Arabidopsis thaliana: one gene and its partner. The protein of the gene in region 1 interacts with the protein of each later gene in a pairwise test. Each region holds a gene or a part of one and is shown in the gene's direction. Other genes may lie near its edges.

The links.
Region 2: the proteins of HB-2 (region 1) and AT1G08590 interact in a two-hybrid assay, tested with the Arabidopsis thaliana proteins (one study listed by BioGRID).

What each region holds. Positions count from the first base shown.
Region 1 is NC_003075.7:9,447,052-9,451,630, forward strand, and holds HB-2 (homeobox protein 2), read left to right. Parts: upstream 1-2,062; 5' UTR 2,063-2,239; coding exon 2,240-2,399; intron 2,400-2,502; coding exon 2,503-2,801; intron 2,802-3,069; coding exon 3,070-3,149; intron 3,150-3,237; coding exon 3,238-3,553; 3' UTR 3,554-3,854; downstream 3,855-4,579. UniProt on the Arabidopsis thaliana protein: Probable transcription factor involved in the negative regulation of cell elongation and specific cell proliferation processes such as lateral root formation and secondary growth of the vascular system.
Region 2 is NC_003070.9:2,716,846-2,723,095, forward strand, and holds AT1G08590 (Leucine-rich receptor-like protein kinase family protein), read left to right. Parts: upstream 1-1,692; 5' UTR 1,693-2,013; coding exon 2,014-5,103; 3' UTR 5,104-5,435; downstream 5,436-6,250.

The sequences.
Region 1 (4,579 bases):
TTTATTCTGATTGATAGAAACTGGAAAGTAAGATGAATTGGACATTAAAAAAAAAAAAAATCCCTTTAAATTTGAGCTAATTATAGCAACTAGTCAGATCCTTCTTTTTTTTCTTTGAACAGAAAAAGAATCGCCAAAAAAAGAAAAAGATGTACTTATTTAGCGAAAATATTTTTCGTAGTAAAAAAACTTCTTTCAATATCTTTGCTTGAATGTGACCATTTCTATTGCACATACAAAAAAACGACTATAAAAAGGACCCACAGTGATTATGAAAATCAGATTGACGAAAAGTTTGTGTGTCTGATTCCAATCATATTGATCCAATTCATTCATCATATTCGATGGTTGTCAAAGCATATAGCTGGATTAAGTGGGGCACAACACTGAAAACGTTTCTCAACCGTATGATGTCATTTCAGCCTTTGGTTTTCTCAACGTTTAATCGGTGACCGTCAATTTCTTTTCAATCTCTATAATCATTTCTTCTTTTGGCGTGTCACTGGGACCTTCACTGTCAATGCTGAATTAATCTCCTTTAAGGATTTGAAGGCAAGAAAAATCTTGTTGCAACTAATAAAAGGAATCGATTTTGATGCTCATTAATCGACCTTTATGACCAAAATGGGTCTATATGAAATAATTATATGATTTGACAAGTAACCATTTGATTTACAAATTATTCAACGATTTAGCATTACAAAAACATCTAACCATGCTTAATGTATGATGTTATTCATTTTAAAAAGTCGAATGAAACCCATGTTTATCTCAATGCATGATTTAATAATTTTATTATACATGCACATAATTCTACATTTTTAATTAATTTTATTAGTTTAATAATAATAATTAATTTTCTTTTTTTACACTTGTTATAGGTGAGAAATGAAAGTTATCATAATACAAAACATCAGTTTTTATAAAACCAAATAAAACTCAAAAATCATTCAGACAAATAAGTTTATGGACTTATGGTATATGATGATACTCTCTCAACATCCTCATTAACATCATCACTATTAAGTTAACAAAAAGAAAAAGAAAACATCATTATAAGTTATTAATAAGTTTAAATAGTAGTATTTTATATTCTGGTACAATGTACTGTTTTTGGTCATTAAGTGGTTCAACGACAAAAGTAAAACTCATGCGGTCGACCCATGCGTTAGAAGAAGAAAATCTGAAAAGAAGTTTGAATTCTTTAATTTTTTCATAAAAAGAAGTTTGAATTCAATTCAACCGTTTTTGTTTAGTTCTTCTTTAATTAACTTTATCACTAATGTTTAAAAGTAAAAGGTTTTTAAAGTGTGCAACAAGCGTGACTCTTTGGCCTTTAGAGTCATCAAGAAGGGTAATCATTTTTTTTACTCTTTCTCGACAATAGCAATCAAATTATCATTCCCACTTTTAATAATCTCATAAAATAAAGTCAATCATAGTTAAAATTTGATAAATTCCATGGAAATGATAAAAATTTGATTTTACTATTGTTGGATGTGCAATTGTTCATGGTAACTTACTAATTTATATGCTTTATTAGTTGCAGATAGTGATATATATCGAAAAATGAAAGATCTAATTCCAATAATTGTCAAAGAGGATTTCTAAATTTCTGTTTGACTAGGTCATATATTCTCACGACTCAACGATCTAACCAATCACCTACAACAGAAAATTTGGTTGAAATAAAACGAAAAGTGATAAGTCCAAATGTTTAAAACAAAAAAAAAGTAAACAAAAGGCAAAATAAGATAACTACGATTAGATTTTGTTCTCGCCTTATGAATATCCTAAAAATTATCTATTAGTGATAGTTTGATAATCATCTTTGACTGAGAAAATTGATGTCACATAAACATTAATATAGTATCAACATTAATCATTAATGATGCGACTATAATTATTATTTTATCACAATTTCTTAGATTTGATAATTTGTTTAGGTTTGAGAGAGTTATATAGAGGGGGACAAAGAAGCAAAGTTTGTGATTATAAAATTATTTCCATTGAACTAAAGTTTTCAATAGTTTATTCTTGACTTTAATAATAATAACTATTTTGCCCCCAGCTAGTCACATACTCATGATTGCAAAATCTCTCTCTCTCTCTGCCTCTCTATATATTAACCTTTCTTCTTCCTTTACTTTCTCATCTTCTATCTCTCAAAAGAAAAGCAGACAACTTTATTTGCAAAAACAGAGTTTTTTTTTCTTATCTTGAGAAAGTTCAACAGAAGATGATGTTCGAGAAAGACGATCTGGGTCTAAGCTTAGGCTTGAATTTTCCAAAGAAACAGATCAATCTCAAATCAAATCCATCTGTTTCTGTTACTCCTTCTTCTTCTTCTTTTGGATTATTCAGAAGATCTTCATGGAACGAGAGTTTTACTTCTTCAGGTACTTCATCGCTTTCTTCGTTCCTCTGTTTTTTTTTATTTTTCCCCGGAAAAAACCTTAAAGGTCTCACCTTTTACTCTACTTTTCAATCTTATGCATGCAGTTCCAAACTCAGATTCGTCACAAAAAGAAACAAGAACTTTCATCCGAGGAATCGACGTGAACAGACCACCGTCTACAGCGGAATACGGCGACGAAGACGCTGGAGTATCTTCACCTAACAGTACAGTCTCAAGCTCTACAGGGAAAAGAAGCGAGAGAGAAGAAGACACAGATCCACAAGGCTCAAGAGGAATCAGTGACGATGAAGATGGTGATAACTCCAGGAAAAAGCTTAGACTTTCCAAAGATCAATCTGCTATTCTTGAAGAGACCTTCAAAGATCACAGTACTCTCAATCCGGTAATTTTTTTCTTCTTTTACTTATTGTTTCACCCGAGAAAGTTTGGTTTTACTGGGAAAATTAATGGCTATGATAAATTGTGGAAACGAAAAAAGAACGCGTTAATGAAATATTCACATTAAAATGACTATTGTTACATGTTGACCAAAGAAAAAACATTACTACTACTATTTGTTTCGGTCTCTCATAAATGCAGATATTAATTTATAAATGGCATTTTGGTAAATGTAGACTGATATCAAGGTTTTTTTCAACTTTTTTTCACAGAAGCAGAAGCAAGCATTGGCTAAACAATTAGGGTTACGAGCAAGACAAGTGGAAGTTTGGTTTCAGAACAGACGAGCAAGGTAAATAAAACACACACAAACAAAAGATCTCTCTATTTGCCTGATTTATCTATTTTCTTATAAGGGTATTTTGGTAAATGTTTAACAGAACAAAGCTGAAGCAAACGGAGGTAGACTGCGAGTTCTTACGGAGATGCTGCGAGAATCTAACGGAAGAGAACCGTCGGCTACAAAAAGAAGTAACGGAATTGAGAGCACTTAAGCTCTCTCCTCAGTTCTACATGCACATGAGCCCACCCACTACTTTGACCATGTGCCCTTCATGTGAACACGTGTCGGTCCCGCCACCACAACCTCAGGCTGCTACGTCAGCGCACCACCGGTCGTTGCCGGTCAATGCGTGGGCTCCTGCGACGAGGATATCTCACGGCTTGACTTTTGACGCTCTTCGTCCTAGGTCCTAAGTCTTTTTACTTGCAACCAAAGGGCATTTTGGTCGTTTTTTAAGTTTCATGGACCAGATATGCATGTAGTTGTTAACATGTATGTATTTTCTTAGAAAGAAAGAAAAACAGATTAATATTTTTCTAGCTTAAACCAACATATATGTGTCATGCTAACAAGTAACAACAAATATTTAGAGCCAATGCTATCAGATATTATGACTTTGAAATCATTTTGTTTTGTTTTGTTGCAATAAATATTTTGGACAAAACTATCACAAGAAACTTTATTGCAATAATATTTATAGTGTCTAGCGAGTAGCCACAAACCAAGAAGTACAATTGATGTAGGAAATGCAAAAGAAAATTAAATGGTCCAAATTGTTTCATGTGGCTATGTGAAAAATATTAAATAGTGGGCTAAAAATAGTTGAAATTTCTAAAAGTTTTTCCAGGATTTTTTTTTTTTTTTTTTTTGTTAAACTTAAAAACTTAAAACTTATACTTTGGGCCCAAGTGTTCCTGGCATTACCATTACAACTATAAGTGAGAAAGAGATTACCATATGTCATACATGAGTATGGGCAAAGTTTAGGCCTTATTGAACATGTAGGTTAGGCTATGGGCCACTTCTTGGGTTTGAAAGGTTAACGCAAGTGCTTATCCCCACTACATGTTAAATTTAAAACTCTGATTTTTCAATGGTGTTGAATTGGACTGCTCTGAGATGTTGAAAATGCTAGATGATCAATAGGATTGGATACGTTTAACGTATTTAGGATATACTAGGCCATGAAGTAGTAATATTTGTACTAATTGTCTTGCTAAAAAGGTAAGAGCATGAGGGTTCATGTTTTCCTATGTAAGCAGCTTGGTGTCGGATTTACTCTCTTTGGAGAGTAGCCTCTTCTCATCGGAGCATTGATCTATAACGTTTTAGCCGCAAAGAACAAAAACCCCGAAAAAGATGATCTCATGATCATGTTCAAATCTAGAAACATAAAGAGGGGTATCAATCTGTTTATACTTCACATAGATCTCCATTCC
Region 2 (6,250 bases), on another chromosome or scaffold:
ATGTTGATTATGATAAAAAGTCCCATATGGGTGCATGTGAAATATGAAAGGGCATATTATAAAGTTAGATTTGAGCAATTATTTTTTCCTTCTTATGAATATGATAATAGAGGATAAATTTGAAAGGACAAAGAACTTTAATTAGAGGTACTGTCCATATCTACCTTGCAAACCTACAACAATTAAATGTGTTGGACGAACCGATAGTCGATACTCGATAGTCGATAATGGATATATATGCTCGAGGTACGTAAAATTTAGATGTTAATCCGCAAGAATATATAGAGTTGTGCTAGATGTATTAATTAAGATATCGATCTCCAAAAAGTCTATACACTCACGAGAATATGTTTCATATAGTTTTTGGGATCAATTATGGTGATTCTTCTAATGTGAACATGATTCATTCATTTAATGGGTATATCCGATCGAATATATATGTTTTAGATTTTAAGAACAAAATAAAAATGATAGATGGCCCTTTTCGATGGTTCTAAACTTTATTTTGATATCGTGAGAGCACTTAATGCTACTTTGTTCTTCACGCAATCAGCATGCATATTTACTCACAAGTTGCAACCACACGAATATAAACAAATTCGGTTACGGACTTAGGGCTACATATTCAGTTACGTCTTGATGTCATATGCATAGTTTATTGAAGCTCCTTGTCTAAAAATGCATTAATATGCAAACTTTATGCATATATCATATGTATGGCCTTAAATCTCTCAACTCAAACTAATATACAGAGAAAAAAAAATTCTGATAATCGTATTTTGAAAAACATTAAAATCTGTGTTTATAAGATCTAGAAAAACATATATGTCTACATGAATGCAATAATTTAATTAATGTATTTGTATTTTTTTTTTTCAATGCATGTGTAAGTAGATATATTTGATGTATGTATATCTCTCTAGTCTCTACGTAGGTGTCATGGGACGTTCCTAGCTACTTGCAACTTGGCAATGGAGTTATGAACTTTCTTATTTCCTAATTTTAATTATGTTGGAACAACGTGGGAAGATTCTCTCACGACCATCATCTTTCATGTGTGTTTTTTTAATGACGCCATTCGAAACAAAACATTCTCCCGACTAATGAAGACATGCGGAAACTCAACCTAGCTCGACCGCCAAGGATGATATAACTAACCTTATAACCAATAAAAACTTTGCGTTCTTTAGTTACTCATATTTAAGTGAAGTTAAATCATTTGTAAAAAAACATTGTTTGTGTCAAATCATTGGTGAGGTAGAACTAAAATGGTAGTTTTCTTAAAAGACTTTGATCTTGCCTAATTAGCCATCATCTTTGAATAGAAAATAGTTATATTGGACAGTAAGTGAGACACATTCTCTGCCCATGTTTCACTGTCCCACAAATCTCTAATGAGGACAAAGCTTTACAAGTCACTCAGTGTTTTATGATTTAGCTAGCTGTTCAGAAACCCACGATTTCTTCATATTATATATCCCATTATCATTATTTTAATCTTCTTTCTCACCGCTTAGTTGTTTGATATTGCACAGATCAGCAAGATAATCCTTCAGGATATGGTTATGGAATTAGTGCTCCTCAAAATTTTCGGTTCGACTTTATTCACAATTTAGCATTTGGGTATGCATATGAAACAAACTTATAATCTAATTTCGTTTTCTCAAACACAATTCACAATTTAACACACGAAGATAGATGAAAACATCAAGGAAATTGTATCACTTTTTCTACTATGTAATGTCACAGATGCAGAAACAAAGCGAACTACTTGCTATCATACAAATTGTTATGACGCCAATGGAACTCGCATATTATTCCACCGAACGAAAAAGAAACACAATCATGATAAAATAATTGAGAGAGATTAAATAAAATTAGATTCTGACTAATCATTGTTTTTCAGCTTTTGGTTTCCACTCTCTTATTATCAACTTCGCTTGGGGACCTTCAATCTCAGTTGCACAAAAATGCCATAAAACTAGCCAAAAAGTGAAGAAATAGAGGAGAAAAATGGCGATCCCTCGACTTTTCTTCCTCTTCTATTACATTGGTTTCGCTCTTTTCCCTTTTGTTTCTTCTGAAACATTTCAAAACTCCGAACAAGAGATCTTGTTGGCCTTCAAGTCAGACCTTTTTGATCCTTCAAATAATCTCCAAGATTGGAAGAGACCTGAGAATGCCACAACATTTTCTGAGTTGGTTCATTGTCATTGGACAGGAGTTCACTGTGATGCAAATGGCTATGTGGCTAAGCTTCTTCTCTCCAACATGAATCTCAGCGGAAACGTGTCAGATCAGATTCAGAGCTTCCCTTCTCTGCAAGCCCTTGATCTCAGCAATAACGCATTTGAGTCTTCTCTTCCTAAATCTCTTTCTAATCTCACGTCTTTGAAGGTCATTGATGTGAGTGTGAACAGCTTCTTTGGAACCTTCCCTTATGGTCTAGGAATGGCAACTGGTCTTACACACGTCAATGCCTCAAGCAACAATTTTTCGGGGTTTCTACCTGAAGATCTTGGCAACGCAACTACACTTGAGGTTTTGGACTTTCGAGGAGGTTACTTCGAGGGCTCAGTGCCTTCTTCTTTCAAGAATCTCAAGAATCTGAAGTTTCTCGGTCTTTCGGGTAACAACTTTGGTGGAAAGGTACCGAAGGTGATTGGTGAGCTCTCTTCCTTGGAGACCATTATTCTTGGTTACAATGGCTTCATGGGTGAGATTCCAGAAGAGTTTGGGAAATTGACGCGCCTTCAGTACCTTGATTTGGCTGTTGGAAACCTTACAGGCCAGATTCCATCTTCTTTGGGGCAGCTGAAACAACTTACAACAGTTTATCTCTACCAGAACCGTCTCACAGGGAAACTTCCTCGAGAACTTGGTGGTATGACTTCTCTTGTGTTTCTTGATCTGTCTGATAACCAGATCACAGGAGAAATACCTATGGAAGTAGGTGAGTTGAAGAATCTGCAGCTTCTAAATTTGATGAGGAATCAACTCACGGGAATCATTCCGTCAAAAATTGCTGAATTACCAAACCTTGAGGTTCTTGAGCTGTGGCAGAACTCTCTCATGGGTTCATTACCGGTGCATCTCGGCAAAAATTCCCCATTGAAGTGGTTAGACGTCTCATCAAACAAGCTTTCAGGAGATATACCATCAGGATTGTGCTATTCCAGAAACCTCACAAAGCTCATTCTCTTCAACAACTCATTCTCAGGTCAGATTCCGGAGGAAATCTTCTCATGTCCGACTTTAGTTCGTGTTCGAATCCAGAAAAATCACATTTCCGGATCTATACCAGCTGGTTCAGGTGACTTACCAATGCTTCAGCATCTAGAGCTCGCAAAAAACAACCTCACCGGTAAAATTCCAGATGATATAGCCTTATCCACATCACTCTCATTTATAGACATATCATTTAATCATCTCTCATCCCTATCTTCCTCCATTTTCTCAAGTCCTAATCTTCAAACCTTCATTGCCTCACATAACAACTTTGCCGGAAAAATTCCTAACCAGATTCAAGATCGTCCATCTTTGTCTGTCCTCGATCTTTCCTTCAACCATTTCTCAGGTGGAATCCCAGAAAGGATCGCTTCTTTTGAAAAACTTGTGAGTCTAAATCTCAAGAGCAACCAATTGGTTGGAGAAATCCCTAAGGCATTAGCCGGGATGCACATGTTAGCTGTTCTTGATCTCTCAAACAACTCTTTGACGGGGAATATACCAGCGGACTTGGGAGCTTCTCCAACACTGGAGATGTTAAACGTGTCATTCAACAAACTCGACGGACCCATTCCTTCAAACATGCTGTTTGCAGCCATAGACCCAAAAGACCTCGTGGGAAACAATGGCTTATGCGGTGGAGTTCTACCACCTTGCTCTAAGAGCCTAGCTTTGTCAGCAAAAGGCCGAAATCCAGGGAGAATTCACGTGAATCACGCAGTCTTCGGGTTCATTGTTGGAACTTCAGTCATCGTGGCTATGGGGATGATGTTCTTGGCAGGGAGATGGATATACACAAGATGGGATCTTTACAGCAACTTTGCTAGAGAGTATATATTCTGCAAGAAACCTCGGGAGGAATGGCCATGGAGACTCGTGGCTTTCCAGAGACTGTGCTTCACTGCAGGAGACATCTTATCACATATCAAAGAATCAAACATCATTGGAATGGGAGCCATAGGGATTGTTTACAAAGCAGAAGTCATGAGACGGCCATTACTCACTGTAGCTGTGAAAAAACTGTGGAGATCACCATCACCACAAAATGATATCGAAGATCATCATCAAGAAGAAGATGAAGAGGACGACATACTCAGAGAAGTGAACCTACTTGGTGGTCTACGACATAGAAACATTGTGAAGATTCTAGGTTACGTTCACAACGAGAGAGAAGTGATGATGGTATACGAGTACATGCCCAATGGAAACCTAGGAACTGCTTTGCATTCCAAAGATGAGAAATTCTTACTAAGAGATTGGCTCTCACGATACAATGTCGCCGTCGGAGTCGTTCAAGGTCTCAATTACTTGCACAACGATTGCTATCCTCCGATCATTCACAGAGACATCAAGTCTAATAACATCCTCCTCGATTCAAACCTTGAAGCGAGGATAGCAGATTTCGGATTGGCGAAGATGATGCTTCATAAGAACGAGACCGTTTCTATGGTGGCTGGATCTTACGGGTATATAGCGCCGGAGTACGGATACACACTGAAGATTGACGAAAAGAGTGATATATACAGTCTAGGCGTTGTGCTTCTGGAATTGGTGACTGGGAAAATGCCGATAGATCCTTCGTTTGAGGATTCGATTGACGTGGTTGAGTGGATTCGGAGGAAGGTGAAGAAGAACGAGAGCTTGGAAGAAGTGATCGACGCGAGCATCGCCGGAGATTGTAAACACGTGATCGAAGAGATGCTCCTGGCACTGCGAATCGCTCTTCTCTGCACCGCGAAGCTACCGAAGGATAGACCATCGATTAGAGACGTCATCACAATGCTCGCGGAGGCGAAGCCACGCCGGAAAAGTGTTTGCCAAGTCGCCGGGGATTTGCCGATTTTCAGAAACTCGCCAGTGGTAGGGCTGATTTAGATGACGGAGGCGATAAGGGTAGTTTTGTCATTTCATCAGCTGGGGCTAATTTTAACATTGGGCTAACAAGTTAACTTTGGGCTGAATCAAAAACCCATGTTTTCAAATCTGATGGGTGCACTAAAGCCCATTGAACCAAATGACATGATTCAAAATTGTAATAGGCCCCTTGTTGATGGCTGATCCAGCAAATTGTAGTTACCAGAGGCTAAAAAAATAATAAATAAAGATTTTAATTAGTTTTGTTTTAATGGAATATTAATCTTTCAATTCACAGAGAAATATTATCTTTTATGATACAATAATTATAAATAAAAAAATTTGATTTTTTTCTATAAATGAATTTTTATGAACGAAATATAAGTTAAATATATTGTATATGTTCTTGATTAATTTCTTCTATTCTGAATTTGTTTCCATTTCCGGTTAAAATTTTTGATTCGCAATTGCTTACATCAACTATAGTCTATATATGACAAAGTCAAATATCCAAAAACGAGATTTTGTAATTATGAGAATCAGTCTTTGGCAATAATCTCTGATATACTCAAAATAGAGTGAATACAATTATTGGTTTTTCATGCTAAATATGAGTTTGCTATATATACCAAATGGTTATATAAATTTTTTTGGGGACAAAAGATAATTAAATATACAGCAAATGGTCAAGTTACCTTCTTCTTCTTTTTTTTTTCTTTTTGTTATCATAAAATTTTATAAAAAATGGTAAAACTACATATGCCAACAGAGAAAAAATAACCCTAGGCTGGTTAAACATATTAAAATTTTCAGTGACAACAATCCTAAAAAAAATATAACTTTAGAAAATAACTAATAAAATACAAATCAAAATTGCAAAATTAAACATAAATTTTAATTATATTCTAATTCTTTTTCACGATTAGAAATTGTCTTGATATTGATAAAAATCAACTTCACCGAAAGTTTATGGTCTTTACGTGCCTACTTGCTATTTGGTAGATTTTTGAAATTGAAATATATGCTTAGTTAATCTGGTTCGATAAACCTCTCATTTGAGGTTTTGTATATGTTGTTATTCGCTAACATCGATAACGTTTATTCACTAACATTGGTAACGTCGAAATATACTCAACTAAAGTCCGATTGAGAAAGAAAAAAAATTAAA